4 linked regions of the Tamandua tetradactyla genome follow. The protein of the gene in region 1 interacts with the protein of each later gene in a pairwise test. Links are inferred from orthologs where the notes say so. Each region holds a gene or a part of one and is shown on either strand. Other genes may lie near its edges.

The links.
Region 2: the proteins of LZTS2 (region 1) and GPANK1 interact in binary tests that used the Homo sapiens proteins (3 or more experiments, as listed by UniProt). The two-hybrid records come from large-scale screens. The link is inferred for Tamandua tetradactyla from reciprocal best matches to the Homo sapiens genes LZTS2 and GPANK1.
Region 3: the proteins of LZTS2 (region 1) and THAP7 interact in binary tests that used the Homo sapiens proteins (3 or more experiments, as listed by UniProt). The two-hybrid records come from large-scale screens. The link is inferred for Tamandua tetradactyla from reciprocal best matches to the Homo sapiens genes LZTS2 and THAP7.
Region 4: the proteins of LZTS2 (region 1) and FKBP6 interact in binary tests that used the Homo sapiens proteins (3 or more experiments, as listed by UniProt). The two-hybrid records come from large-scale screens. The link is inferred for Tamandua tetradactyla from reciprocal best matches to the Homo sapiens genes LZTS2 and FKBP6.

Annotation. Positions count from the first base shown.
Region 1 is NC_135339.1:62,550,119-62,557,670, reverse strand, and holds the start of LZTS2 (leucine zipper putative tumor suppressor 2), read right to left. Parts: upstream 3,014-7,552; 5' UTR 2,857-3,013; exon of another isoform or gene 2,449-2,856; intron 2,184-2,448; exon of another isoform or gene 1,562-2,183; intron 1,461-1,561; exon of another isoform or gene 1,418-1,460; intron 822-1,417; exon of another isoform or gene 668-821; intron 281-667; exon of another isoform or gene 171-280; intron 7-170; exon of another isoform or gene 1-6. Other genes in the region: TWNK (twinkle mtDNA helicase), read right to left, coding at 6,084-6,404, 7,299-7,440. UniProt on the Homo sapiens protein: Negative regulator of katanin-mediated microtubule severing and release from the centrosome. Required for central spindle formation and the completion of cytokinesis.
Region 2 is NC_135331.1:87,251,478-87,258,626, forward strand, and holds the start of GPANK1 (G patch domain and ankyrin repeat-containing protein 1), read right to left. Parts: upstream 3,016-7,149; 5' UTR 2,920-3,015; intron 2,077-2,919; 5' UTR 1,904-2,076; intron 1,661-1,903; exon of another isoform or gene 1,658-1,660; 5' UTR 1,554-1,657; coding exon 928-1,553; intron 334-927; coding exon 1-333. Other genes in the region: CSNK2B (casein kinase II subunit beta), read left to right, coding at 3,935-4,006, 4,706-4,808, 5,315-5,430, 5,845-5,920, 6,064-6,253, 6,822-6,912.
Region 3 is NC_135331.1:26,825,478-26,832,841, forward strand, and holds THAP7 (THAP domain-containing protein 7), read right to left. Parts: upstream 2,664-7,364; 5' UTR 2,450-2,663; coding exon 2,370-2,449; intron 2,047-2,369; coding exon 1,891-2,046; intron 1,504-1,890; coding exon 1,363-1,503; intron 1,202-1,362; coding exon 637-1,201; 3' UTR 515-636; downstream 1-514. UniProt on the Homo sapiens protein: Chromatin-associated, histone tail-binding protein that represses transcription via recruitment of HDAC3 and nuclear hormone receptor corepressors.
Region 4 is NC_135349.1:11,071,465-11,079,266, forward strand, and holds the start of FKBP6 (inactive peptidyl-prolyl cis-trans isomerase FKBP6), read left to right. Parts: upstream 1-4,788; 5' UTR 4,789-4,924; coding exon 4,925-4,981; intron 4,982-5,115; coding exon 5,116-5,233; intron 5,234-5,647; coding exon 5,648-5,737; intron 5,738-6,489; coding exon 6,490-6,692; intron 6,693-7,802. Other genes in the region: E3 ubiquitin-protein ligase TRIM50, read right to left, coding at 148-546. UniProt on the Homo sapiens protein: Has an essential role in spermatogenesis. It is required to repress transposable elements and prevent their mobilization, which is essential for the germline integrity.

The sequences.
Region 1 (7,552 bases):
AACCCACCCTCAACAGTCCCCAAAGCCCTCCCTTCCCCGTCCCTTCCCCGTCCCCTCCCCTGGCTTCCATAAAGTAGGGGCAGCTGTGGAATGCTGGCTCCCCACTGGACCTCCACCGCGGAGAAGTTCGGGGCGCCTCCTCTCACCTCCCAGCCCCGGCCCCCCCTCACCTCCGCCGCGCTGCTCCATGCTCAGCCCCGGGCCGCCCCCAGCGCTCCACCAGCGCGCAGCGCGGCTCCAGCCCGCGCACGGCCAGTCGGGCGGCCGGGCCCGACCCGGCCCCGGCCCCTCCTCCGCGGCGCCCCCCCACCCGCGGGGCCAGCCGGCGCCCGGGCCGAGTGGGCGGGGCAGCGCGGGGGAGGGGTCCGACGGGCGGCCCCGCCCCCAGACGCCGACACGCGCAAGCACCCCCACGTCACGCGTGTCCAACGGGGCACACGCAGGAGCAGCACAGCGGGAATCAGGATCCCTCCCTCTGAGGCTTGGTGTCTATGGTCCTGGGGGTTCGGTGGGCTCAGGACTCGGCAGCGGCGGGTCACTCTCTCCCCACGCTAGGGCCCCAGGACCGGCGGCAGCTGGTCATTGTTCCAGCACAAAGGGCCAGGCGTGACGGCGGCCACCCCGCCCCCATTCGCTTCTCTAGTCGAAGCCTCTCCCCAAGACACACTCTCCTGCTTCAGAGTCCAGACGGGGAGGTCGAGGGTCCGCTGCAAACCCCCTTCCTGCTGTCGAGGCCCTATGCCCCGGCACCAGTCTGGGGGCGAGGCTCGGTCCGTGCCTGCCCCACCCCCAGCGGGTTGAGGGCGGTACACTTGGATTGGGGGAAGCGACGCCACCTGGCGGCTGGTTGGGAGAACACACCCAGCCCCCTCCACCCGCCGTGCGGGCCCCCATCTCTCTCTCCAGAACTGCCCTCTCCCGCCCCAGCCCAGATCTGCGCCCGGCGAGACTCCGTGCTTTCCAGCCTTCTTTCGGAGCCAAGAAGCTTGAAAAGAGGCGGCCCTTGCCCCCCCCCCCCCACACACACACAGTTACTGGGGCGACCCGTTCCAAACCTACAGTCCAAACCTACACCATCCTCACAGGAGACCACATTCCAGTCTTTCCCAGGGTCACAAATACTCTCAGCCTCTCGCAAATAAACACAATCTTTTTAACACCCACACACTGTCTCATCCATCATTCCGTCTCATGTTCCTTCTCCCAGTAATCTTTCAGGCCAACTCACACACAGACACAGTGTCACACATCTTGTTTGGCACAGTCTTCACGCCCAGTCACAAATACATTTGGTGTCCCAAGCATCTTCCACACATTGACAGGCACTCACAGTTGCTCTCACAGCTTCTCACACATACACATCATGTTTCACAAACATATCCTTCCACACGGACTTTCCCATAGGGGTCTCTACGACCTGGTCAGGTCAGCTGATGTCCGCACCCTGGGCAAGGACAGTCCCCTCCCCGCCCCCCAGCGCCAAGGCCTAGCTAGGGCTCGCTCCGCCCCAGGAAGGAGCACCCCCCCCCCCCCCCATCGCGCCGCAGGCCACAGCCCTGGCCGGGCTCTCAATTCTATTTTTAGCTTTATGGAAAGGGTTGTTTTTCTTTCTTTTTCCCTGGAAAGGGAAACACAGCCCAGCCACCCTCAGGCTCACCCCAGACCCTCAGCCACGCAAGAACCAGACGGAGGCTCTCTCCCCACTGGAGACCACCTCTTCTGGCCTTGCCCTGATCCCAGCCTCCCGGGACATTTAGAGCCTCCGCCCCTTCCCGGCAGCCGGCGCAGAAACTCAGGCAGCAGTTGGGCTCAGCGTGTGCGCGTGGAGGGGGGAGGGGGTATAAAGCCGCTGCCCACTCCCTCATTCCCCGGGCTGGAGGCTGGCGCTCATCCTCCCTTCTACTAAAACGGTGGTATTGAGGGGTGTTTACACTCCTGCGTTCACTGGGCGGGGGTGGGGACTTCCAATCTTACAGGGGCGGGCATTCTGTTCTACATCGCGGGGAGGAGCTCCCAGTCCTGCAAGAGGGCGGTGGGTTGGTAGGAAGGTGATCCACAGATGCTCAGACAGCTGCTCCCTGGGCTGGAGGGAAGGGACGGCCATCAAGGCGAAGGCCCCCTCCGATACCTTCAGGGATGAGACACCACGAACGTGTCCTGGGGAGGGAGGGCGAGGAGCCCAGGTAACCCCATCCCAGCCCTACGTTCCCGGTCCTCCGAGCCACCCTGCCTCCAGGGGGCGATGTGTCCCTTTTCTAGGGAAAGGCTTATCATTGCTCCAGGTTCGAGGCGTAGAATGGAATACAGCCCCGAGTGGGACCTTGCAGACTCGCCCCGAACTGAAAGAGGCGGTCCCGGGCCTTCGGCGGGGGTGGGGGAAGCACAGCCACTAGGCTGCGCCGCGATCACGTGCTCGGCGCCTGTTTACGTCTTAGTCTTCACCTGCAGGCGGCCGGGAAGCAGGAACCTCCGGATGCGTCCCACCCGACCCGCCCCCGTCGGCGGTCACGGGGCGGCCTCTTCCCCCTACCCCCGCCAAGTACGCGACAGCAGAGTGCCCTGCCCGCCGGGGGTCCGCGCGGGCCGGTGGCGTGCCCCTGCAACTGCAAGGGTAACCCACTGGCTGCATCCGTTCTTGAGTGCACGTGTGTTCGTGTGTCCCAAGTACGTGCGGGGATCGGTGTGCACACGTGTGTGGGCCCGCCAGTGTGAGTATCTGCGTCGCCTCCTATTCAGACTCCCTCTCCTGCGTCCCACAGGAGGAGGACCCCACTCCGCCCCTATCTCCAGCTTCCCAGACGGGGAAAGTTCGCTCCGGAGCGGGGTGTGGGAGGCGGGTATTCCCCCACCACTCACCAAACGCCAGCTGCGCCGCAGCTCCAGCTCCGGCCCCGCGCCAGCTCCAGCGCGGGCACCTCCTCGCGGCCGACCCGCCGGCTCCCAAGCCTGTTCTGGACTCCCGGCTCCCGGCTCCCTTCGCCCTCCTGGCCGGGCCGGGTGGAGCGGGGCGGAGCGGTGGAGGCCGCGCCCCTGACTCAGGGAGGGGAGTGGTCTGCCCAGCACCCCTTCTACAGCCGACCCTGTAGTTGGGCAGTGCCTCGAGTTTGCCCTTTAGGTCTCTGACTTCACCGGCAACCTGGACTTGGCTTTGACCTGGGGAAGGGGCGAACAGCACGTGATGGAGAGCTAAACGACCTGGCTGTCCTAACAACGCTGATTATGGGACTTGAGTCTGCCACCCCACCCCTCTCCTTAGAGAGCCCAACAGGGTCTACTCTCAGCCCACTCCCCAAACACAGGAAAATCCCTGAGAAGCAGACAAAGAAAGCTCGGGTTTCACCAAAAACAGCCCCCCTCCCCCCTTGGGGCTGCCCAAGCAGAACAGAGCACCACCCCCTTCCCCGAAGTAGGTGCCTGCCCAGGTGAGGTCTGCCAGTTCTAGCCTCCACAGGGCATGGCCAAGCTTCCCTTAGACTCATAAAGTCCCACCCACAGGCACAAACAGGAAGTTGGCCTTTATCTTAGGGAGGCACTAAGTGCTCCCTCTCTCCATACACCCAAAGCAGCGGATGGGAAGGCATAGACTATAATGTCTGCAGGAATCTGGGCTATATTTACAACCTGAGTAGTTGGGCTGCAGGAGACTGGTGAGTGTAGTCCATTCTCAAACTCATCTACATTTGAGAGTAAGCTGCTGGAGGACCAAAACTGTTCCCTCACCGTGGAGACCCCTCCTCCCAGCCAAGTGTGACACATACAGACACTGTAATCTGAGGACAAAGCTGCAGATCCACCTGGACCCTGCTTGACCAGGCCATTCTTGAGCAATCGGGGAGATTCTTAGCATTCACTTGGAGGTAGACAGAGTCCAGCCCTATCCCAGGTAATATGCCTTAATGTACTTTGAATGGGTGTGTAGACAGTGACTCCCAGGGACCTTACACAGGATGCAGAGAGCCCCTCTAGCCCGAATTCCCACTAGCCCACTGGAAACTCCTGAAGGATTTCCTGAAAACACACCATGTGTTCAAGGGGGACCAGGATGTGAAACCTCTGTCTTTGTAGGTAGGACTGACCTGGAGTTCTGAGCATCTGGCAGGCATAGCTGACATCCAGTGTTTGAGTTTGGATGAGGCCTGGGCCAGCCAGCGGCTGGGAATGATTACTGCAGGATTAGGGAGGCCTGGCTCCAGCCAGTCTGGGAGAGAGACCCCCAAGAAGGGAGGCCCTGGAGGAGCTACCTCCCAAGTTTTGCCCCACAGAGAACAGCTTTGCAGCAGCTTTGCTCTGGAGTCTGTTTCAGGAGAGGTATCTGGCCACAGCTGTCACACACTATAGACCAGAGACCTCAGGCCTTCCATGGAGTCCCAGGAGCACGCTCTTAAGCTGACAGGGAGAACTTTACATGGCAGCCCTGCCTCCAGAGAGCAGGAAACCTTTCTCCCACCTAAATAAAAGGCTTCTCCCCAGCCCCCTCTGAACATCTTGCATTCTCCCCCACGCTTTCAAAAACAAATGGGCAACTCTAAAGAGAAACTGGATACAGAAAGTGAGACAGGAAAATGTCATCATTTAGGAATATTTCTGACAGGATCTCAGTTCACCTGTTTGCAATTTCCTGCAGGGCTTGTTAAAAATGAGGGTTCTTAAACCCCTCCCCAAACCTCTGGAATTAGAAATGTATGTGTAGCAGGAAGTGAGGGTGTGGGGCGTGTGGGCCTGGGTTCTGAATTTTTAACAAGATCCCCAGGAGTACTGATGCACACTAACATAAGAAAAACACCAAGAGGGTACAAGGAATAGGGAAATGACGGCAAGATAAGAATATGCTGGGTCTAAGTGAACACTGAAGGTGGTCAGCGAGTGCCTCACATCACAGAGAACAGCTGACCAGACAGGGTCTGAGTAGCCCAGAGACCCACTCCTCTGCTACGAACAACATGGAGTTCCTCAAGGAGTTAGGGATAAGGACACACTTGTCTTCCCTAGGCCCAGAAGAGCTATATGGGTAGGGGTGAGGGTCTTTCAATGCCCCTTCTCCCTTGGGAGCCCACAACTCAAAGGCCAGGAGTGGGGAAGGAGATCCCCTCCCCTCCACTCCCAATTCAAAGTGTGAGTCCAGTTATACACTGGGGACACCTGGTGGACAGAAAAAAAAAAAAGCACAGAAACAAAGGCAGTGAAAAACATTCTTTTTCAGTAAAATTGGAAAAGGCTTTATAAAAAGTCATAACTGCATCCACTCCAGCACTACTGTTTGTCTAAAGCAGCTTACCTGGAATTAGTGCCCAGGTGGCAGGCTCTTTGGGTTCATGGCTGCTGCCAAGCAATCCAGGGGAGGTAGCTCCTACCTGTTGGGTCCTGATAGTCCAGGGCCAAGGACCTAGGATGCCAATTCTAGCTAATGCCAGCTCATGACAGCCCCACAAAGTGGGGAACGGGGGGGGCCTAGTACCTACCATATCATGCTTCAGCTCTGAAAGCCTAGGCGGGAGCTGCATCAAGGAGCCTCTTAATCCCCTCCAAGATGAGGGGCCTGACACCACTTTCTTGAACTCAATTTGCTCATTCCCAACCCAGGGCCTTTGTATTTCTTCTTCCTTCTATCTGGAGCCTGCTTCCTCTAGGTATTCACATGACTTGCTCCTTCCCGTTCTTCAGACCCCAACTCAAGTGTCCTCTGCTCAGAGGTCTTTTCAGATCACTTAACTGAAACTAGCCTGTGAACATTCTTTATCACATAGCTGTTTTTTAAATTTTCTTTATAGCATTTCCATTATCTAAAATTATGTTCTCTGTTCTTTTATTCATTGTTTATCTTAGCTCCTGCACCAGAATGCAGGTTCTACAGAATAGGACCACATCTGTCTTGCTCAGTGATGTATTCCCACGACCTAAAGCAAAGTCTGCAGAATTGAACGCTCTTCCTATGGAATCCTGCCCTAGCCTAGGCCCTTGAGACTGAGAGGAGCCCATAGCTTCAGGACCACAGCACAGAGGCAGCCCTCACAGAGGGCCAAGAAAGAGTCTATGTTCCAACTTGTCCCATCAGGCTCACTTTAGTGTCCAGCTTTGTACACCCTTCACCTAGAAGGCTGGGGGGTGTCTGGCTGATAGGGGTTGGAGGCCTGACCCGGGCCAGCCTCAGAGTTCTGGGGCACAGCCCCCTTTTTGCCAGACGAAGGCTTTTTGGCCACTAGCCCATTGTCATCCTTGATCTTCTTGAGCCGGACCTTGCTCTTTGGTGGGATGGAGAAGGTGAGGGAGCTCTTGTTAAACTCAAGTGGAAAGACACCTACATCTCCATCAAAGCGGTTCTTGGACACCTGCAGATACCGCTTCCCTGGTCCAGTTACCAGCTTCCTGTCCTGCAGGATTAGAACATTGTCTGCTTCCTGGCTTGCCTGGAGGTTGGCGGGGAGGGGGGTGCAGGGAGCAGAAGAAAGAAGGAAGGGGTGAAAAGACATATGAGAGAGGCAGAAATTACCACAGCTTTCTGAACTATTGACCTACATGCTAGGACTACTCTAATCTTTTCAGTTCTTTGACAAGGAGTTCACTGTGGGCTAAAGACTTTGTACCTGATGTTTTCCTCTGCTTATAACCCTTCTTCTCCATAGCCAGCCACCCCACCCAACCCCGGCATCTCCTCGTCATTCAGGTCTTGTTTTAAATGTCCCATGCTTCATCTGAGACCATTCTTCTACTACTACCCTAAATGAAGAAAGTGCCACCATTTTTCGACTGCTGCATTTTTCTTCTCCCCAGCAACTTGTTTGTTCCATTGTGGCATGTAATTTGTGCTCCTCGCCCTGTATTCCCTGTGCCCCACCCAGGCCTGGCATATAACAGGCACTCAGTATCCACAGAAAGTTCCACAATCACCCTGGTCCTGCTGCCCAGAATGCCCATTTCTTTAATTATCTAACATTTACTGTCCATCAAAATTCAACCAAAACTTCAGTGACACCTCCTCTGAGAAGTCTCCCCAGATGTCCCAGGCAGACTCAGATGTCTTTTTGTTCTCCAAATATGTGTGCTGACTATCACAGCACTTATTGGTATTGAGTTGTAATCATCACCTTATTCTTTTCCTCACTAGAGGATGTGAGCTGGAGTAGAAGAACGACACACTATTATTATCAGCTTTTGTATTTGAGTACATATATATTCCTAATGTCGGTCCCATCTGTTAAATGGATAGTCAACGAGGTTATTTAAGGCTGACTGTGGGCTATCCCTGGTCATACTTGACCACTCTGTTCACCAAAGTTTGGTTCTCTCCAAAGATCACTCACTTTGGCCGAGCCAAAAATGGATGCTGTCTGCAGTTCCTTGTCATCATCCTCCTTCCGGGGGTGTATGACCAGTGTCACGTGGCAATTATTGTCTGTAGCAAACTTCCGAAAGGCCCCAATGACATAGTCTTGAGCTGCAATCCTGCTCCCAAAAAAGCAAAAAAAGTTACTGGACAAGAGGAGAGATCAGATGGAATCAAGAGGCTGTTCTGGAGGCTGCTCTTACAGAAGCTTCAGTTAGGCAGTCCTAATGG
Region 2 (7,149 bases), on another chromosome or scaffold:
CTCCCTGCCACAGCCCTGGTATCCCGAGCTGGGAAGTGTGTGATTCGGGCCTGGGGTGCTGATCTGTAGCCTAGTCCCTCCTGGTCCCTTTTGAGGACAGTTGGGATGGGTTCGGCTCGGCCCTCACCCCGGGGTCCCAGTCCCATCCCAGGTTCCCAGCCTCCCCTCAGCAGCAGCTTGAAGCCTGGATTGGAGGCAGAGACTCCAGGTGGCAGGTTGTGGGGCTGGGGAATCCAGGACAGCGACAGCAAGTGAGCAGTAGACGTTTGGTGGTTGGAGTCTTGGAAGTGGGCGTCACAGGTCTCACAGTACTGGGGAGAGGGAGCATGAGGCCTGCAGAGGAAGAAGAGGAGTTGAGTTGAGGATGGGGGCTGTGGGGTGGGGGAAGAACACAGAGGCCTCAGAAGGGGCTGGCAGGGTGGGACAGGTTCCCTCCAGCCCTCTGGCTAAGGAACAAATTGCCTTCCTCCCCACTTGAAGAACCCAGTGGGAACCCAGATGGGAATGGTTGGGGGAAGAGGTGGTAACCAGGTCTCAAAAAGCTCCTGGGGAAGGGAAAAATAATAATGATAATGAGAATAATGAGTAAAGCTAATATTTATATAATACTTATATGGCAAGCACCATTTAACATTTTCATGTATTAACCCATTTAATCCTAATAACAACCCTGTGAGAAAGTACTGTTATTACCCCCATTTCTCAGCTGAGGCAACCGGGACACAAAGATGTTAGGTTCCTTGCCCATGTAAGTAAAGTCAGGATTCAAATTCTGGGAGCTCGAGTTCAGAACTCCTCCAGTATACTATCTTATCACCTACACTGAGGAGGAAAGCTTCCCAGCTCTGTTCTGGAACCTCTGGTACAGAGTGACTAGAAAGGGCAGAGCACACTGATATATGTTTATGGGGTAAGGTTTCCCCTCACCGGTTCTCTGGGCTCCTTGTCTCTCCGTGGCTCTCTCTGATCATCCGGGCCACCTCAGGGAAGCCTGCCTCTTCAGCCAGCTGGGCAGCATCCCGGCCACCTAGCTCACAGACTCCCACCCAGGCAGCCCCGCGACCCAGGAGATAGCGCACAGCTGCCTCCTGGCCGGCTCGGGCAGCACACATCAGGGGAGTCCACCAGAAGGTGTCCCGGGTGTTGATATTCCCTCCAGCACCCCCTGCCTCACATGGCTCCAGTAGCCTTTGAAGTTCTGCCAGGTCCCCCTCCTGGGCTGCCCTCAGTATCCACTGAGTCATCTTGTCCTCGGCTTCAAGGGATCTCTCTTGTCTGTGTCCCCCTGATGCTGCTGTTGCTGCTGCTTCTGCCACAGGTGTCCCCACCACTCTTCTTTTCTTCCTCTTTCTCACCCTGATAGGCTTAGGCTGAGATCTCTGAGGTTCTGAGGGGCTGCTCTCATCCCCAAACAGGGCCTCATAGAAAGCCCGGGCTGCAGGCCCATCCAGGACAGGCTCTGGTTCCTCAGGCTGTGGCTGCTGCTGCCCATCTTTCCAGAGGTCGCTGGGGTCACTGGCTGGGGTGAAGGTGATAAGAGAAGGCCTGGACATGACTTGGGGGAGAACTGAGAGAATGAGACTCTGGCAAGGGGAAGCTCAGACAAGCAAGCCAAGCGCCTAGTGGCTCTGCAGTGTCCAAATCCACTTCCAGGGAGCTGCTGGGGTGAGGAAAAGTAACCTTAGAATCAAAGACCATAGCTGTCCCAAAAGAGACCCCCGAACTTAGGGGCCTGCAAGGTCACGTATAAAAATATGAGATCCTACAGTAACAGGTCTGTCTCTTGCTAAAGGTTAACAAAGAAAACACCCTGAGAGAGTTGCCCAGAGATCCCGAGTCCAGACCTCCCCAGCAATAATACCAGCCTCTCTTTGGATCAACTTTTCCACCCCGTAAGACATACCATTAAGAAAAACATCAGCCTGGCTCTTTAAATCTTCCTCAATCCTAATTCGGGGTTCCGTCTTTCCGGAAAAAAACAAAAAACAAAAAAACAGACATGACACTTCTCCGGAAGAGGATGTCAAGCAGAGGCGTCTGTCTCTTAGAGCTTCCGTACGGCAAAATGGCGCTACTCTAATAAAACAAGCCAATACAATCAAATAGCTACAGAACACGAAGGCGCATGCGTGATTGAAAAAAATGCATACACAGCCACTACTCCCGACGCCGGCGTGCGCAAAGCGTCGGGTTCAGTTTCCCGCCCTGGAATCGTGCCAATAGTTTGCGCGCAAAGCACCATGTGCCCAATTGTCGCGAGGACCGAGGAGGATCAGTCGGTTGAGGCCCGACTTTTACATAACGCCCCACAATGCCCTTCGCAACCCTCAACATTGTCCACATTTCCAGCCCATTTTCTGGAACTAGGAAGCCAGTCCCTGGGTTAAGAAAGGTCTTACAGAGGCAGAGGAAAACCTGTGGAATGTCGATAAGCTGTGACATAAAATAACGTCACGGTGCCCCTCACCCTTACTCTGATCAGGGTTTGAAGATCACACTTAGAGCCCATAGCAAAAAACCCCTCCCACTGTAGCTCTTCTAAGAGATGGAGCAGTGCAAGGCGACGAGCGGCAGGATGGCTGGTGCCACCTCAGGTTAGCGCAGTGGACCATTCTGGTTCTTAGACCGCTCAGCCCAGCGCAGCACATCCCACCCAAGTTTCTCAGCACGAATGCCGACCGCACCTCCCACTTCGGGTGAACGGGGCCCAAAGTGAAACATGGGCCCTGCCAGGGATTGGCCTGACTCTGGCAAGGAGCCCGATAGCTGATAAGGGCCCAGCAGAACGGTCCGGAATGGAATCAGTTCCGTGTACGGCAGCGCTATGCCGGTAGCCAGTGTTCGCTCGGCTAGAGGAGCGGCGGGGAGGAACCAGAGACTAGCTCGCTATTTCCCCGCCCCACGTCGGCCCCTCCGTACCCTGAACACGTGATTATATTTCCCTTAGTCTCTGGCCCCGAACGTGGAGTTAGGCTTCCGCTTCCGGTGGTGACTCGCTGCGCCCCGCCCCCAGCCTTCCTCGCGGATTCCGCGACCCCAGGGTCGGATGCGGGTCATCCTGGGATTCGTAGTTCGCTTTTCCCTCATTTCGCTAGTTTCTCCGTACCGGAGACTTCATCTCCCGGCGTCCTCCCTGGCACCCGACCCTTAGCGCTTGCGCGTCGTCCTCTTCCCCACCCTCTCCAATTTCCACTCCCCCCTACCCCGCTTCTGCCGCGGTCCGGTCCGTGGCCTTCGCTGTAGCGGTCGTCGCCGCCCCTTGAAAGCACCAACTCCCCTACCCCCCCTCCCCCGGTCCTGGCCACCGTCTAGCAGGTGAGTCTGAGGTCGTCGCTGTGCGGAACGTCTACTCGCTGGGCGCGGCACATGGGGTCTCCGCGTCTTGATGTGGGGGCGGGGAAGGAAGTGACCCGGTCTGGTACCCAGGGAGGAAGGGAGGGAGGGGTGTCCTGAGGGGTGGAGGCGGGATGTGCGAACTTTATGGAAGGGATCTAAAGAAGAAACCTGGCGATTGCCCGGGAAGGATTAACTTCGGAACCCTGGGGAACCGGGCGATGCAGAGCTTTGCGGTATTTCGGCGTCCGAGGCGCGGACCCTACCGGAATTGACACGGGGGAAAAGGGACCTAGCATTCGGGATCGCCAGGGATGTGGAGAGAACTAGTGAGAAAAGATATATAGGCTTCTCGCAAATGATGGTAGGAGGTGGAACATCACAGAATGTCTGATTGGGGGGGAAGGAGGCCAAGGCATGTAAATAAGAGGGGCAGGAAAGGTGTGCTGTAGAGTCAGAGATCCTTTAAGATAAGGTGGCCCCAAATTTCTCTGTGGTTGGAGGGCAAAGTGTAGGAGGAGGGAGGATATTAAGGGAGTAGGCAGGGAGCAAGAGCTGTGGGTCACCAGCTTCACATATTTTTTTCCCTGCAGACGTGAAGATGAGCAGCTCAGAGGAGGTATCCTGGATCTCCTGGTTCTGTGGGCTCCGTGGCAATGAATTCTTCTGTGAAGTGAGTTCTCTTAAACGTCCCTATTTCCTACACATATTCTGGCCCCAGACGTTCTCACTCAATTTTTTCACATGCTACCATGAAAACTCCTTTCTGTCAAAGAATGATCCTCTCAGTTTGGCCCAGTAACCTGTGGTGAAATACTAATCCCATTATTCTCCAGCAGTGTAACTTTGAATAAGCCAACCTGTGTCTCTTTCATAATAGTGGGGTGGTAGTGGCAGTCTCTTTTCAGGTTGACTGAGGAAAATTGAAGTACTGTGTGTTAAAAAGTTCTATGAAGTGCAAAACTTTGTAGTAACATAAGGATTGTAACTGCCTTGGGAATCTAAGCTGTTCAGCTTCCACCTTCCTGAGAGACAGCTGTCCCTAAGGAGAGGATAAACGTGGTTCCTAGAGATGGGAGTGGGTGGGTGGGGTGACGTTCAGGAAAAAGGATACAGAACATGAACAGAATGTTTCCAAGGTGGAGGTTGGTGTACCACTTTATCCTTAGAACAGAGAAGCCAAAACTTTTATGGAAAGGAGTATGTGTGAATGGGAAAGAGAAAGTCAGGTACTTCTATTGAGTCCCTGGGAATGGGAACAAGGGTAATAGAAGTAGCTACACTGAGGACCAGGCATCATTTAGAGCAACTTGCCTTGGCCAAAGTTGTGGATTCCGCTATGAATTCCCTCTTGACTTCCACATCTTAACAGGTGGATGAAGATTACATCCAGGACAAGTTCAACCTCACAGGGCTCAATGAGCAAGTACCCCACTATCGGCAAGCTCTAGACATGATTTTGGACCTGGAGCCTGGTGAGGCACTCTCAGTGTTTGTTTTTTTTTATTTGTCTTTGTTTTGTTCCCCTTTTTCTACAAATCTCTGTTCACTTGTTTCTTTAATTCCTAATTTTTTTTTGCTTCTGTGGCTTTCTAAAGCCAAAACTCCTCGTTTTGTTTTGATCACCATCTGATTCTTGCCAAGTTCTTGCCACATGTTCCCATGCTTTCTTGTCTTGTAACTCAACTCTGTTCCATAATGCCATCTTTCGCACATGTCTTGTTTTCTGCCTCTTTCTCCTGCCCTGCACTTTCCAGACTAAAGTTCCTCATTCTGCATTAACGTCTTTGCATTTATGCATTGAGGAAGGAATTGGGAGGGGGAGAAGAAAACAGAGGCTGGAGAGGTGTAAAGGAGAAGCAGAGACCCAGGTTTCTGGGTCAGATGCCTAAATAGTGGGTGGCGGGTACCCCTGGGAGTGGGTGGAGCATCTAGGAAAGCTGAATGACTAGTGTTGCATTTGGGCTGGAACATATTTCAGATGAAGAGCTGGAAGACAACCCCAACCAGAGTGACCTGATTGAGCAGGCGGCGGAGATGCTGTATGGATTAATCCACGCCCGCTACATCCTCACCAACCGTGGCATTGCCCAGATGGTGAGGTCTCTCTGCTCCCACTTGACTTCTTCTGAGAAATAAGAGAAACGAAGGTTCCCACAGTGAGAAGTCACACATTTTAACCTTGCCAGGGAGTCTAGCTGAGAAGAGGGAAAGAATCCCAAAATTTGGGTCTGAGAATTGAGTCCAGACTTGAGTCAGGGAGGGAGACATGCGTCTGAATAGAAGTTCTTATAGGCTGCCTCTTCCTCAGGAAACAAATGGCAAATGGCTTTGATGGTCCTCAGCCTAGCTGAAGGAAAGCCGAGGAGTTTGAGCCAGAGAGGGAACTTCTGACAGAGGCGGGAGGATTGACGGACAGAGTGATGTGGGTTGGGTTGAGAAGGGAGTCAGAACCACATAGGTTGCTTTTTCTTACCTACCCACCAATCTCTTCCATTTTATTCACCTTAGTTGGAAAAATACCAGCAGGGAGACTTTGGCTATTGTCCCCGTGTGTACTGTGAGAACCAGCCAATGCTTCCCATTGGTGAGTGTTGGGGAGGGTGACATATGGCAGGTTCCCTGGGAAGGAGTTGGGACTCAGCAAGTCTGGGCCTGAGTCCTGTGGGGGGGGAGTTGGTCAGGGTTGGTGGGTGAGTGCCCAGCCTGCTGAGTCTGGCTGTCTCCCAGGCCTATCAGACATCCCAGGCGAGGCCATGGTGAAGCTCTACTGCCCCAAGTGCATGGATGTGTACACACCCAAGTCATCAAGGCACCACCACACAGACGGCGCCTACTTCGGCACTGGTTTCCCTCACATGCTGTTCATGGTGCACCCCGAGTACCGACCTAAGCGGCCAGCCAACCAGTTTGTGCCCAGGTGGGGAGCTCGGACAGTCACCAAGAGTCAAAGGAAGGGCATGAAAGTCCCTGGTTGTCCCAAAGCCAGGGCTTCTCTCTGCTGAGTGACCTTGAATGCATTATTCAAATTCCTTATTTAATTTCCTTACCTGTAAAACAGGATTGATGACAGAATTTATTTAACAGGGTATAGTTAAATATGTAGATTGTTTAGAACAAAGTTCCAAGGCACTATTGTAATGTTAAGCTATTTTCACCACTGCCTTGAGAGTTCAACCTTTTACCAGAGAATCCTGGGAGCCACAGGGTAAACCTGGCTCATCTTAAAGCACCGGTCTGGTTGTGGGGAGGAAAGGCTCAGTTTTATATTGAAGCAAGTACAACTATATATCCTAGAGTTTCAATTTTAAGATCCATGTCCAGATATTTTCCAGTGCAGGAGTTTGGGAACTGCTGCCCTTAAGCATTGAGCAGGCCCAGGAGGATCTGGGGGTAGGGGGTAGGGAGTGGGGACAGGAATGCAGACCCCTGGCAGGGCCAGGTTGGGACTCACCCTGCTGCCTCTCTGACCTGTCACCCCGACCCAGGCTCTATGGTTTCAAGATCCATCCGATGGCCTACCAGCTGCAGCTCCAAGCCGCCAGCAACTTCAAGAGTCCAGTCAAGACGATTCGCTGATTACCCCCTACCTGTCCCTCAGTCTTTGATGGCCCTATTCCTTCGCTGCCACCCTTTCAGGAACCCTTCATGGTTTTTAGTTTAAATTAAAGGAGTCATTACTGTGGTGGGAATATGAAATAAAGTGGAAGAAAAGGCCATGAGCCAGTCTGCTGGTGCTTGGGGTTGGGGAAGGGAAGGTGGCAGCGTGCTGGACCTCAGGAGCCCTCATGGCCCACCCTCCCCAAGTTGAAACTT
Region 3 (7,364 bases), on another chromosome or scaffold:
GAGCAATGGGTGGGTCTGGGGACCAGGATTCGCAGGCTGTGCCAGGTACACAGGCCCCCTGCTGAGTCAGGGGCTGCCCCTGTGCCCTTATCAAGCAGCCACATCAGGACAGGGTTTTACAAAGACTTCAAAGGGGCCAATGTGCTTAAGTCGAGATTGCTTCAGGTTCCCAGGGAAGGGTACTTGGCACTGCCCCCAGCTTCTACCACAATACCCCGTACCTACTAAGAACCCCCGTGGGCACAGAGCTGTGCAGGAGGGCAAACACTGGTGCTCAGTCCTGGCACCATGGCCCACGGCAGGTGGGCTGCTGCCTGCCTCCTTGTGCACACCGAGGGCTGAGCCACGAGAAGTTGGAGGGCAGGAGTTTCTGGTCCCAGCACCCAGGAGCCTAGGTGGGGCAAAGGCTGCCTGTCCCCAGCCCAGCAGCTGTTGTCCGGGGATGGGGATGGGGTAGGAGAAACCTGGAACCTAGAGGAGGGTACCAGGCACCTTGAGAGCCAGGCAGCAGGGCCTTATTCTATGGTATCCGCTTTATTATGGGGCCTGATAGGGCACAGTGGCTGCAGCTCTGTGCAGGTCCTGCTGCAGGAAGCCTCTTGCTGGGCCCGGACCCTGGCCATGCCCGGTGGCCCCTCAGGCCATGCTGCTGCTCAGCTGCATGGCAAAGTCCTGCACATGCTCCTTCAGAGTCTGGCGGGCATCCGCCTGGGCCCGCTTCTCCCGTGCCCGCTCCTGCTGCAGCTTGGTCAGGCGCAGCCGCAGTCGCTGCTCCCGTCGCTTGCACGCCTGCAGCTGGCGCTGGGCCTTGTCCAGGGCGTCAAGAGCAGCCTCGGCCCGCCGCTTCCAGAGCAAGGCGCTGCCCACCTGGTAGCTGTGTTCGTTCTGGATGTAGGCGCCAGCCGGCGGTGGCAGGCGCAGCATGTAGGCCGAGGGTGAGATGGGCCGTGGGGCCAAAGGGCACGGCTGCTTTTCTGGCTCCCGCTCAGGCGAGGGCTGGGTGCTGCAGCCCGCTTCGTCAGCCTGGGCACCCAGGGGCCCCAGGAGGTCTGAGAAGGGGCTGCTGAGGCCAGGCTCCAGCCTCCCAGCCGGAGAGGCAGGCAGGGCGGTGGGTGCTGAAGCCTCTTCCACAGGAAAGCAGGGGACGTCCGCAGGTGGCGGGGGAGAGAACAAAGTCATGGGCCCCCGGCCCTCAGAGGCACTGCACAAAAAGAGAGTGACACTAACAGGTTGGGTTAAGGGCTTGTTATGGCCCACTTTGTCAGCCTACCTGCACCCATGTACCCCAACTCCAGAGGTTTCAGGACACTAGCTACCCAAAAGCAGCTGGCAGACCCAGTCCATCAAGCCCGCAGCACATACCGCTTCCTGCATCGCCGGAGGCGGCTGATGTTGGGCGGCCCAGGCGGGTAGGCGTGCCCCTTGGTCTTGGCTGTCCGATGCAACTTGGAGAAAGACTCAAATATCGTGGGGACTGCCCCCTCCTTCAGCCTGTGGTACCCACTGTGGGGAAAAGCAGCCTGGGTGAGACGAAGAGATGGGCCCTGGGCACTGAGCTGGCACATCCACCAGCACCCCAGGAGGGGTCCCAAGGCACTAGGCTGGGGAGGTTGGAAAGCAGACTGCAAAAAGCGTCGGGAAGGGTTAAGTTAGGCAGTTATAGCAATCTCCTCCCTGCAGGCCTCGTTAGAAGCATGGAGGGATCTTCCTGGCAGAGATGGGCTGCCAGACAAAGAAGTCTTTTATTTGGGGCCATGCGATGCCCTGGAAAGGCTGATGCTTCCCTCCCGTCTCACTGGCACGGGGGTCTTGGGTGTGGATTTTCCTGTCTCCACGTGGTAGCTCAGGACTCCTCACCCCGCCCCGCTGCTGGTTGGCGACCGAGCCCACCTGATTCCCACCAGCTCAAAGCAGTTCTCCTCGAAGTGCTTGGAGCAGAAGTAGATGTACTCGGAGGCGGGATCCCACAAGCCCTGTCCGCTGGGGTCCAGCCGCTGACAGTTGGCCAGCCACAAGCCTCGCCTCGGGTTGTCCTTCTTGGGAAGTCTGCGGAGCCCAAAGCGCGTGAGCAAAGGCCACCCGGCCCCCGCCTCGCCCAGCCCGCCCAGGTGAGGAAAGTGAGCCCTCAGGATGGAAAACTGCTTACAGGGGAGAGGAGACGGTGGGTCCCAGGGCGGAGGACCTCCTGTCCATCGAGGTCCCCCAGGACGCGCTCCGAACACTGACCGGACACCACCCCCGAACCCAAGTTCCGAGCCTCGCCCCCACCTGAGGCAGGCGCACAGCGCAGGCGCAAATGTGGCCCAGGGAGGCGGGCAACCGCGGCGCATGCGCAAGGCCCGGGCGCGTCACCACGCAGGCGCTCTGACCTGTGGAAGGAGATGCCGCGGTTGCGCGTCTCCCGCGTATCGCGTGTGCAGCAGCCGGCGGCGGAGCAGTGACGCGGCATCTGGCGGGGAGGCGGGGGTGTGGGCGGCTGTCCGGGCCTGCGGGGCCGCGCCCCTGCCGCCGCTGTGCCCCAGGACGCCCCGGATCGTTGGGGCTCCTCCGGCTCGATCCTGGCCCGGCACAGTTCCAGCCCGGCCTCCTGGCTCCCGCTGGACACACTCACGGTCTCGCCATTGCTGCGCCGCCCAAGTCTCGCGATGTGTGGGGCAGCGGAAGTTGGCCCCGCGGAGATGCGGGAGGGCGCGCGGGCTCGACGGCGGGGCGGGGCCTTGCGGGCAGGAGACGAGGGCCGGCGGGGAGGGGGATCTCTCGGCAACACGGGGTTGCCGGCAACTCGCGCCTAAGGCTGCCGAGCCGGTGACCGGCAGCTGGAAGGCGCCGTCGGCCTTGAGAGCCCTCGGCCTTCAGGCCGGGAGTGTGCATCCGGGAGACACATGGCCGGGGCTACGGAGACCGCCCCTTTCGGGAGGAGAGTCACATGTCTATTCTCTTCTCCCAAAGGCAGCAGGTTAGAACTAAATATTTTTAAATATTTTGATGATTTAAAATAAAGCACTTTTTCGAAGGCTTCCTTCTGGGATTAATGCAGTCACCAATTAAACCTTTGCAGACGTGCTAAGTAATACGAGAGAAACACGTGGATGTTTTTCCCAGAAATCCATCTGGAAAAGGCAGGTTATCTGCATTGGGAATTTTATCAAAATGAAGCACAAGGAAGAGATGATGGTTCAATACAGAAACTTTAATAGTTAACTATATTATGTAATGTTACGGTAGGATGAGGGGGATACAAAAGACTCTTCGGCTCACTCTTCGTGCTCCTCCCCTTCTTAAGCCTCGGCCTCCACGGAATCCACGCCCACATCCTCATAATCCTTCTCCAGGGCAGCCCGATCCTCCCGGGCCTCCGAGAACTCCCCCTCCTCCATGCCTTCCCCCATGTACCAGTGCACGAAGGCACGCTTGGCATACATGAGGTCAAACATGTGGTTGAGGCAGGCCCAGGCCTCAGCAATGGCCATGGTGTTCCTCAGTATGCACACGGCCTGCTGCACCTTGGCCAGGTGCCCTCTCCACTCCACCCCCGACTATGGTGGGGGGCTGGTAGTTAATGTCCACCTGTGGGAGAAGGGGAGACGACACGGAACTCAAATCGGCTCTTGGAAGTGGCAGCTGCTTTTACTCACACAGAAGACAGGCTGAAAGTGCCATGTGGCCACCAGGGAGAAGCTCGGTTCGCCCACACACCTTCACTGTTCCCTTCTTTGGGCCAGGCAGGCTGCCAGAGCCGGGAAATGGTTTCCAAAGATAAGGAAATAGCCAGGAAAGAGAAGCCGGATTCAGTCACCCTGGCTTGCTTCCAAGCTGCCTGAAGACTCTGGGTACCACGTAACTGATGTGTCATAACAGTTCAAGGGAAGGGACTGTCTGCCCTCTGGAATGGATACTGCTTTGTGTTTCTTGGAGATTATTTCCCCCCATGCTTCTACAAGATGATGATGAATTTTGTAGCTGGAATTGTTTCAACTGAGACAGATTCAGAGAACACAACTGGGATAAGGGAAGCTCATCCCACCCCCACCCCCTTGTCCCCACAGTCATGGGCTTATGCAAGAGTAACAGACAACCAAGGGTCATGTACTGTCACCACAGCCACTGGAGGGGTTCTGGCATGTGCTGAAGCAGGAGCCTGCACTGCATGACATTCTAAGGTTGGGCCAAAGGGGAGTTTTGGCACCTGGGGATAGCAGGGCCTGAGGGTCCTCAGAGACATAACTGACAGGAGCACATGGGCTCGACTAGAGCAGGGGTAAACAACTGCCTGATAGTAAGCAACTACCTGGCAGTAAAGTTTTAGGCCTTGCTAACCACAGGGTCACCGTTCCCCATGACTCTGCTGCTGTAGCTCAAAAGTGCCCACAGGCAATCTGTGGATGAGGTGTGGCTGCATTCAGAGAAAACTTTATTTACAAAATCAGGCAGGTGTGACTGTATATAAAATATCTCAAAAAATATTTTAAAATTTGAATAATTGGTTCAACTTAAAAAAAAAAATCGGGCGGCTGGTCCCTCCACCAGCTGACCTCAGAACTAGAGGAAGGAGATACAAGTTAGGAACTTGTCATGACCACAGCACAAACGAAGGGTCTGAACCTGACCAAGTGGTGTAAATAGCCTGGCACAAGGAATCAGAGGGCCAAGAAAAGGAGAATGGACTGGGTTTAGGAATCAAAGGCTCCCAGAGCTGGAAGCCACAGGAAGGATGCATCATGTGTCACATGAAAGTTCAGAAAAATGCTGTGTCTGAAACAGACACAGGCCACGATGAGGAGCTAACCAAGGAGAAATAAGAGATGTTCCGTTTTCTTCACGAGACGATTGTGATAGTTTTTATGTAATCTAAAATTATACAGGATGTTTTTTAACAATGGAACGAAAGTAAGATTTGGTGAGAGCAGTTTGTGGAACATCCCAATTTCAAATATATCCACTATCCACACAACTCACAAAAACATCCTGAAAATTCCCACATGGTTATGTTCAACCTACATTTCCTATACCAATTTTACCCCAAAAAAGAATGTAAAAATCCCTTCAGAGAGAGGCCAGAAGTCAGCAGGAACCCAGAAGAGAAAAGAGAGGACACTGCCATGTAATGAAAAAACCAAGGCACTCTGAGGCCTGTCAGCTTGCCAGAACACTACCATCCAACAGAGGAAGCAAGACTTTTGGTCTCTGACACCCTGAGACGGTCAGTGTTTATAACTTTCAGCAACTGTGAGAGCATGTGGGGACTATCTGCCTTTTGGTACAAGCTGCCTGCAGAAATCTTAGTCAATACCCCAGACAATACCAGCTTCTGTATACCTAAAGGAAACTGCCTGGGCTCAGGAGCCTTGAATGTCAGCATCTGCAAGAATGGTTGTGCTGGTTTGAAGTTATTATGTACCCCAGGAAAGCCATGCCCTTTAATCTTCATTCAATATTGCTGGGTAGAATCTTTTTTATCGTTTCCATAGAGATATGACTCACCCAATTGTGGGTGGCAACTTTTAATTAGATGGTTTCCATGGAGACATATCTCCACCCACTCAAGGTGGGGTTGCTTACTGGAGCCCTTTAAAAGGGAACCATTTTGGAAAAAGCTTTAGAGCCACCAGAACAGAGTCCCAAGGAAGCCATTAAAGAATCTTGGGGAGTAAGTTAGCAAACGTTGCCATGTGCCTTTCCAGCTGAGAAAGAAACCCTGAATTTGATTAGTCTTGAACCAAGCTATCTTTCCCTGGATGCCTTAATTTGAACATTGTTTATAGACTTGCCTTAATTTGGACATTTCTATGGCCTGAGAACTATAAACTTTCAAACTAATAAATTTCTCTTTCTGAAACCCATACCACTTTCGGTATATCACATCCTGACAGCTTGCAAACTAGAACAGATGTTGGAACCAGAGAAATGGGGTGCTGCTATGGTTTGCAAATAGTAAAAAAGGTTGGAACAGATTTTAAATGGATAAGGGGAAGATTCGGGGTGAACTGTGATTCACTTGATAGAGAAGGCCTAGAATACTCTGAAGAGACTGTTGGTAGAAATGTGGACTCTAAAGATAACTCTGATGTGACTTTACACAGAAATGATGAATGTATCATTATAAACCGGAAGAAAGGCATTCTTTGTAGATGGAAGGCAGAAATTGAGAGTGATAAACTTGGATGTTTAACAGAAGAAATTCCCAAACTAAATGTGGAAAATGCAGTCTGGCTTCTCCTTGCAGCTTATAGTAAAATGTGAGAGAAAAAGAGATAAGTTGAGAACTGAAATCTTGGGTACAAAGAACACAGAAATTGGTGTTTTGGAAAAGTGTGGGCCTCCAGAAAGAGAGGCCTCAGAGAATCGTGTCCCACGTGAAAATCTAATGAAGTATGGAACCAGTTAGCCATTCCAGAAGAAGCCAGGATTAGGTATGGAGTTATCCAGGAAGGATCTGTGCAAAGTCCTTTTGTGTAATGAGCATGATCCCAGTATATTGCACAGGAAATCAACAAGAGTGCTGTGGGATCTGTATAAATGGAACGACTGCCACTCTGGACTAAAAGGGAGAGAAAAACAACAAAGTTAAGGAAAAATAACTTCAGAGGCAGAACAATGGAAACTAAGGTCTGAAGTCAAGAAACCTTGGGCCAGGGTATAGACCCAACCCATACACTTGGAGAGGCTGCTCCAAGACACTGGAGACCAAAAGAAACGTCAGTGTGTTGATTCAGCAGTTATATTACTTTTTAAAATCTTATCTTCTCTATTATACCCTCCTCATTTTTTCTTTAATGAGAAAAATAATACACAAGCACAAAATCAATAAATTTGAAAGTACATTGCAAAAAAAATTCTTTTCAGAATACTTCCTATTTTCTGCAATTAAATGCTCACCATAGACATATATATGCTGTGATAATTCAGGAAGGGAACTCAGAATACAAACTTGGATAAGTGATCACTTTTGGCTCACTCCTCTATGACCAGGAACCTGAGAGAATGGGGCAGACTTCTCCCCAAGGCCTTGGGGGGCAGCATGATTATGCAGGTGTGCTGTACCCTCCCAAAAAAAGCAAGGCTCCTTCCAGCTCCTACCTTGAACCCGGTTGGGCACCAATCCACAAACTTGATGGTGGCGATGGCTGTGGGTCCTCCTTCAGGACGACGTCCCCCTGATACAGCATGCAGCAGGTCATATACTTCCCGTGGCGAGTGTCGCACTTGACCATCTGATTGGCTGGCTCGAAGCAGGCGTTGGTGATCTCGGCCACGGACAGCTGCTCGTGGCAGGACTTCTGGGCAGAAATGACTGGAGCGTAGGTGGCCAGGGGAAATTGGATGCAGGGTAGGGGACCAGGTTGGTGTGGAACTCTGTCAGGTCC
Region 4 (7,802 bases), on another chromosome or scaffold:
GAATGAATGAATGCTCTCAAGAGCTCTCTGCTCCATCACAGGGATGGAGGGAAACTGAGTCCTGGCCCCAGGACCCTTCCTCTGTGCCGAGCCCCTCCTTCCGGCCAAGCACCCCCACCCCACCCTACCTCCCCAGCAGCTTCCCACCTTCATGCGGCTGTAGACGGTGGGGACGGGGGTGACCCGGTGGTGCTGGTGGGAGCCCAGCAGGCCGCAGAGGCCGCAGATGAGCTCCTGGTCCTTCTCGCAGAAGAGGCTGAGCGGGTTTCGGTGGTGCGCGCACACCTTGGGCTCCGGGTCCCCGGGGAGCCGCAGGGCTTCGATTACCCGCGCCAGGGAGACGTTGGGTGGGGAGCTGCTGCTGTCCACCGCCCGCCGGCACTCAGGGCAGCGTAGCTCGGCGTCCAGGTGGCGGGACAGGGCGACCAGGCAGCCCTTGCAGTAGGAGTGGCCGCACTGGAGCATCAGGGGCTCCTTGAAGACCTCCAGGCAGATGGGGCACTGGAGCGGGTCCTCCAGCTCGGGGACGCTCACCTGCCCAGCCATGCGCACTGCCCAGGCTGAAACACAGCACGGGGGGAGGGGGGCCTGCTCTCTCCCCTCCCTCTGCCCAGAGTGCGTCCCAAAGCTCCCAACCCCCAGGGGTGGCTGGGATGCTCTAGGGAAGGCTGCTGGTCCTGGGTTCCATCCCTAAGCACCTAAGATCTCGTGCCTGTTTCCCCATTTTAAATGAGAAAATGGTCCCTTAGAAATAAATGACTCCAAATTTTGTACTCAGCTTTGGAGGTAAACCAGAAAGGAATCATCTGGAAGAGACATTGATAACCCAAGCCCCAGCCCCGGCAGGCATCCTGGCCAGAACTGGGTAGCAAAACCAAGCAAAGGTCACTGCAGGGAATTACTACTGGTCCTTCCCACCTTCTCAAACTTTTGAGACCTCCCGAGAGCATCATTATGACTGGAGATTCCTGAGTCCCACCCTCAGGGTTCTGAGGCCCAGAACTTTGCATTTTTAATAGACACCGGCAGGGAATACTAAAGCATTAGACCTGGGAGGGCGCTACCCTAACCTTCTGCCCAGCCCCAGGTGGAGAACGACACAGGGCAGTAGGTGCAGGGGGAGCCCAGACGTGGTCCTACCTGGCTCTCACGGTCCTCTGAGCCTTCCCCCCAGGCCTTCCCTTCTTCCCAGGGTGGGCCAGCAGCAGCGGGATCTGGGGAACGCAGTGTACCCCACCGAGCCTCTGCCCCTTTCTTCCTCCGCTTTCCCTTTCCCAGCAGCACCCCCGTGTCCTCAAGGTCACTGGTATCAGGTGGAGAAACCTGGAGCAATCACGGGACTGGGTGACAGCTTCTGCCCGGGCCAGCGCTGATAACTGCTCACTTATGTTCTGGGGCGGGGGTGGGGGTGGGGGGCCGAGAGGGACCGCGCATGCAGCTACACCTTGCAAACTCCAAACGGGAGGGGACACATGCCTCAACAGAATTCTTTCTGAATCATGACTTTCTTTTTTTTTTGGTGGCATTTTGAAGGTATTTTAAAAATCTGATTTACTTAGATTTTTAAAATTGAGGTAGAACATCTACAAAGAGCACAAATCTGAAGTCCACAGTTTGACATGCACTTCACATTTGTATACTTACCCTCAAGGTCAAGATGTAGAACTTTTCTGGCACCCTGGAGGCTCCCTGTACCTCCTGCCAAGTAGCACCCCTTAATATGGGCAGCTGCTTTCCTGACATCATCATTGTAGATTGTCGGGGCTTCTTTCCGAATTTGATGTAAATAGAATCATATGGTATGCATTTTTTTGTACCTGGCTTCTTTCACTCGACAGTATTTAATTGTGAACCTTTTCATGTGAAGTCTTTCAAAGATTTAGAAGTTCAGTCGCATTGCACTATGCAGCTACTGAATATCATGGTCACAATATATATGTACATATTAATATATATCATGGGGGTGCGGTGGGAATTGCTATGGAAAAGACAGAAACACTCAAAGGGAGTTCTAAGGACAGCGGGTCACAGCCCTGTCCACTCTAACTGCCAACAGGAGGAGGTCTCAGCCCCAGTGACAAGCAAGGCCAAGGTTTGGGAAAGGCAGGTTTTAGGCACATTTGACTTATTACTTGAACAAATGCTTACCGAGACCCTGCTATGTTCAAGCACTGTATTGGTGGTGAGTAGAGAACACGACAGACCAAGTCCTTTAGAGTGTCCAGGACAGTGACGATGTAGTGGTATTAGGTATGGAATCCCTAAATAAACAAGAGAATATAATCACGTTGAATGCTATTCAAAAAGTCAACAGAGTGATCCGAAAAAGGGAACGGGGTGGTGGGTTGCATGAGATGCCACTTTAGATGGAGGGGAAAGATACAAAGAAGCCAGTCACATGGAAGTTTGCAGCCCAGGCAGTGGAGAGGGGCTGGCAGGTGCAAAGGTCCTGGGCTTGGAAAGACTTGGTATCGCCGAGATACCAAAGTGGAGACCTGGGTAGCTGGAGCATGGCACACGAGAGGGGACATCAGGAGATGAACTCTGAGGGGTTGGCAGGGAAGGCCCTATCGGCCAGGGCGAAGCGTTCAAATCTCATTCAAGGGCAATGGAAGCTACTGCATGGCTTTAAGCAAGGGGGTTTTATATTTTTCAGAGATCTCTCTGGTTGCTGTTGAGTCCACGGATTGGGGTGTCTTGGGCACCTGGGTGGATGGGTGGCGGTGCCAATTCCCAAAGATTAGTGAAGATCAGAGTGGAAAAGGGAGATGAGAAAATCCAGAGTTGGATGCCAGGGGACATCCAGGTGAAGCAGTGATTAGCCAGCAGTCTTTAGCCTTCAGCAAGAACAGAGGGGCCTGTTAAAGCACAGCTGGTTGGGTCCTGTCTGTTGAGTTCCTGTTTCGGGAGGACAGGGATAGATCCAACAATCTGTATTTCTAGTAAGTTCCCAGGTAACACTGGTGCTCCCGGTCTGGGGACAGCATTCTGAGATCTAGTGGGGTAGGATACTGGACTCTGGCATCTGGGCCCTGGAGCTGAATTCAGAGCGGCCCGAGGCTGGCTGACATGGGTCACCTGTGGAGACATACGGGAAGGGCTGGAGTCTCCCAGCGAGTGAGGACAGACAAGGAAGGACAGAGGGCCAAGGAGGGGGCTCTGGTTGCCAAAGGCAAGAAGAGGATGCCTGAGAAGGAACAGCCAGCGAGGTCAGAGGGAAACAAGAAGAGAGTGGTAACCAGGAAGCTGTGGTAGGAAGAAGGGCCAAAGATATCCACACCCTGACCCCTGGCACCTGGGTAGAGGTGACATGATATGACAAAGGGGCTTTGCAGGTGCGAATAATGTCACAGACCTGAATTCCTTGGGTGGCCCAATCTAACCACATGAGACCTCAAAAGCAGAAAACTTTCTCTGGCCAGAGTTAGAGAGATGCTGCAGAAGGAAAAGTCAGAGAGAGCCCAAGCATGAGAACGATTTGACAAGCTGCTGCTGGCTAGGAGATGTCGGAGCCAGCATACAAGGACAGCAGAGAGGCCTCTAGGAGCTAAGGGTGGCCAAGGAGACAGGGACCTCAAGCCCAGAGCCGCAACCAGCTTGGAAGCGGATCCTTCCCCAGATCTCCCAGGAAGGAGTGGAGCCCCGCCGAGGCCTTGACTTTAGCCCAGTGAAACCAGCAAAGCTTCAGACCTAACATGGGTGTCTTTTTAAGCCACCAACTTTGCAGTAATTTGGTAGGATAGTGATAGAAAACAAATACCCGAAATCGAGAGAAGAAAAGTGTTAGAAGGGCAGAGAGGTCAAATGTCATTTGTCAAACGTCCTCTGGAGTCGGATAAACCAAGGACAGAGAGGTGTCTGATGGATCTGGCAACAAGAGCAGTCTCCACGTATGGGGCGGGGGAAGGTAGCAGTGACGTGGGTTACAGAGATGGGCACAAAGAAGTCGAAAAGCATTTGCGGCAGCTCTTCCCAGAAGTTTTTCTGAGAAAAGTAGGAATCGGGCCATCCGCAGCAGGAGCGTGACGCGGGCTGAAGGGAGACTTGTTCGTTTTAAGGTGGGAGCTTTCCGGACAGGTATGAGCTGAAGGAAATGATGCCACAGTCAAGGCAAGACTGATGGGGTGGGGGGGAGTGGCAGCCAAGCGAGGGAAGCCCTTGAGTGGGCAAGAGGGGAAGGATCCAGGGAGCGAGCCCACAGAAGGGAGCAAGGGGCCGGTCTTCCTTCACAACAGGAGAAAGCAGGTGCAGCGGATCTTGTGGATGTGGCTGCGGGAAGATGAGAGATGTCATATCCATGTGCTCCCCCCGCCCCCCGAGCTAAGATCCGGGAAGTCTGGTGTTAAAGCCCACATGGGGCCTGAGTTTCTGCAGAACCCAACGAGGAAGGGGGCTGAAAACGTAACCCTCGGCCTTGCGGCCTCAGCTTACTTGGAGGCAGTGCCCGCCATGTGCTTCCCGCGCCCCGCACGCATCCAGGGCGATCCACACCCGCCACGTGCTCCCGCGACCGCCCGCCCCGCACGCGCCTGCCGCGTCCCGCCCCCGCACGCATCCAGGGCAAGCCACACCCGCCACGTGCTTCCGCACCCGCCCACGCGCACTCGCCTGCCGCGCCCCGCCCCGCCCCGCACGCGCCTGCCGCGCCCCGCCCCGCACTCGCCTGCTGCGCCCCGCCCCGCCCCGCCCCGCACGCGCCCCGCCCCGCACGCGTCCAGGGCGAGCCGCGCCCACCACGTGCTCCGGCGCCCCCTCGTTCGTTCGTGGCAGTTGGCCGCCTTTGGCGCGGAGCGAGGCGCGTCCCCTCGCGGAGGGCGGTGGGTGGCGGGCGGCCGGCCTGTATAAAGCGGCGACCGAGCCCGCGGCTTCCCGGAATCTCGTGGAAGTGCGCGCGGGCCGCGGAGGCGGGGAAGTCGGCGCAGGCATGGGGGGAAGCGCCCGGAACCGGGGCGTCCTAGGAGGAGACGACGCCCCCGGCCAGGTGGGGGAAGCCGAGGACCCCGCTCCTGGGGTGGGGGTCGACCCCGGAGACTGCCGGCGGGGAGGTGACGGGTGGTGGGCGTAGGGGCGGCCTCCGAGTGTTTACCGTCTTGTTTTTTTTTTTTTATTCTCAAGTCTCCGTATGAGAGGCTAAGTCAAAGGATGCTGGACGTTTCCGGGGACCGGGGCGTGTTGAAGGATGTCATCCGAGAAGGCGCTGGGGAGCTGGTGACCCCTGATGCTTCCGTGTTAGGTACGGCCACAGCCTGGCTGGGATTTGGCCTCGCGGTGCTGGCGGAGGCCAGTGGAGATATAAAAGCACTGTCCCTTCCGAGTGGCAGCAAACCGTTCAATTGCACTTTTCTCTAGGGGCGGGAAGATTGTATTTTTTTTTTTTAAGTAGGTAGTATTTTATAGGGTAGAAAGTTTTTTGAATTTGGATTTTTAAGCAAAGAGCAAGGAAACCCATCTGTCACCCCTTTGCACCACCCAGTGTGAGCAGGGAACGTGCAAAATGTTGAGAAGAGATTCGTTCCTATAATTCGGCATATGGGGTGGTTTAAGCTCATTTGATTGCATCGTTTTGGTGGAATAGCAGAGCTCTGATATAAGACATCAGTCCCTCTGCCTCATTTTCCTCCCCCTGGGTCTGTTTTCTTCATCCTAGTGAAATACTCTGGATACCTGGAGCATACGGACAAGCCTTTTGATTCCAATTGCTTTAGGAAAACACCTCGGCTGATGAAACTTGGAGAGGGTAAGTTCAGACTAGGAACTGGTGAAGAGATAAGGGAACGTGCCATAGGAAGGGAAAAGTCACCAAAGCACAGGTTTTCTGCGTTGGTTTTTCTGAGACTGGGTTTTGCTAAAGGCAGCCAGGTTCTCTCCCACATCCCCCCTGGAGCCCTAGGGATTCCAGAGATGGCCTAGCTGGCAAGGTTTCCTTTCCTGCATCCTGCCTTCTCCACTGGCCGTTTTTCTTTGTTCATTTGCTAAGTGAACAGGTATTGAGTGTTCCCCACACACAAGGCAGGGTGACAAGGGAGAAGGTGCCCAGATGATTAAACCTTCCCAGTATGGGGAGATTGACGTGTATTCAGTCAGGTAACCTTGGAGAACCCAGTGAGTGCCAGGGAGGTGGAAGCACTGTATGGAAGTGTTTAATGAAGGTACAGTTAATTCCAGCGGGGAGGATCTGGCAAGGCTTCCTGGAGGAGGGGGCATTTGAAATGAGCCCTGAAGTTTGTGTGAGATGTCAGCCAGTGTAGAAGCTGGGGACAGGGTGAGAGGGAAGAAAGAGAACAGCAGGGACAGAGCCGCAGAGCCTAGCAAAGCTAGAGTTTGGGAGTGGCGGTGGTAAGCGGGAAGAAACAAGGCTGGAAGGTGGGTTGGGACCACCGTACAGACGGTTTGGAGTATTACGCAGAAAGGACTCGAAGGGGAAAGAAGCTGATCGCATCAGGACAGGATTGGACACCCTTTAACCATGTTCCTGGCCTCTTTGTCCAGATATCACGCTCTGGGGCATGGAGCTGGGCCTTCTGAGCATGCGGAGAGGAGAGCTGGCCAGGTTTCTGTTCAAGCCCACCTACGCCTACGGGATGCTGGGCTGTCCCCCCCTGATCCCCCCAAACACCACTGTCCTGTTCGAAATCGAGCTCCTGGACTTTCTGGACTCTGCCGAGTCAGACACGTTCTGTGCCCTCTCGGCTGTAAGTTCCGGCGTACAGGTGTCAGCCCTTGCTACGGAAAGGGGTGGGTTTGGGGCATTCTGCTGTACCGCCTCCCCTGCCCCCAGCCCACCCTGGGCTCCTGCGCCGTGGCCCTGCCTTGGTGGAGGACCTGCGTGTCCAGTCCGGGTCTGTCATGGGTAGGTAGGAGTGCTGGGCCCAGGTAAGTGGTGGTTATCGACCTGCAGTTTAAGCTGCCGCCTTTGTCATCCTTTGCCCAGTTCTCCCTGCAGGGCGGTGGATATCTGCTTCCCAACGTTAAGTTTGTTGCCCAGTAAGTATTGGCAGCCCATAATGACGGAGACTGTATAAATTATATGTCAATAAATTGTTGTCTAACCGAGGACACTTGAGAGTGAAGGGCCTTTTAACTAGATGGGACATGAGGACTTTGGGTGTCCACTGGGACAGTCCCAGGGAGACCTGGACACATGGCCCTTGTCCTCAGAACTTTAGTCGTGACTTTTCTGTGTAGCCTTTCATTTAAGCCCCTTAGAGGTAGGCCTTGTGATCTCATCAGCAGATGCATACCCTCTCCCCTTCATCCTGTCCCACGCCGGCTTGGGTTTGCAGCCTTAGATGTCACCCCAGGTTTTGCCTCAGTGTAAGATGTGTCCTCAGCTAACCCCTAAGTACCCAAGAGAGGGGTCTGTCCTCGGAGTAGAGGTCCTTGTAGATGCCTGGGGCTCGCTTCTGGTGTACTAAGCTGGTATCTCCAGGGATGGGACCAGGACATCTGTGCAGAGAAGGAGACTGTCTGAGTGATGGTGATATGTGGCCAGGACCGAGCAGTGTGGCGGTAGTGACCAGGGGGGCACACCGAGACCCGCGCGCTGGGTGAAGGACTGTCCGTGCTCCATGGGAGACCGCTCCCTTCGGGAGAGCATCAGGGAGGGTGGGAGAAGCAGGCCACCTCCCGGCTCCAGCGTGTGCAGTGGGGACGCATCACACCCACTGCCACGGCTTCTCTGGGAGCTCCGGGGACTGCGCTGCCAAGGCTCCTTGTTTGGCTCCCCGAAGGCAGTAAATCAAAGTTCCCAGAGCTGCAGTGGCACTCTCGCCGCGGCTTTGGGTTCTCCTGCTGAGTGTCCT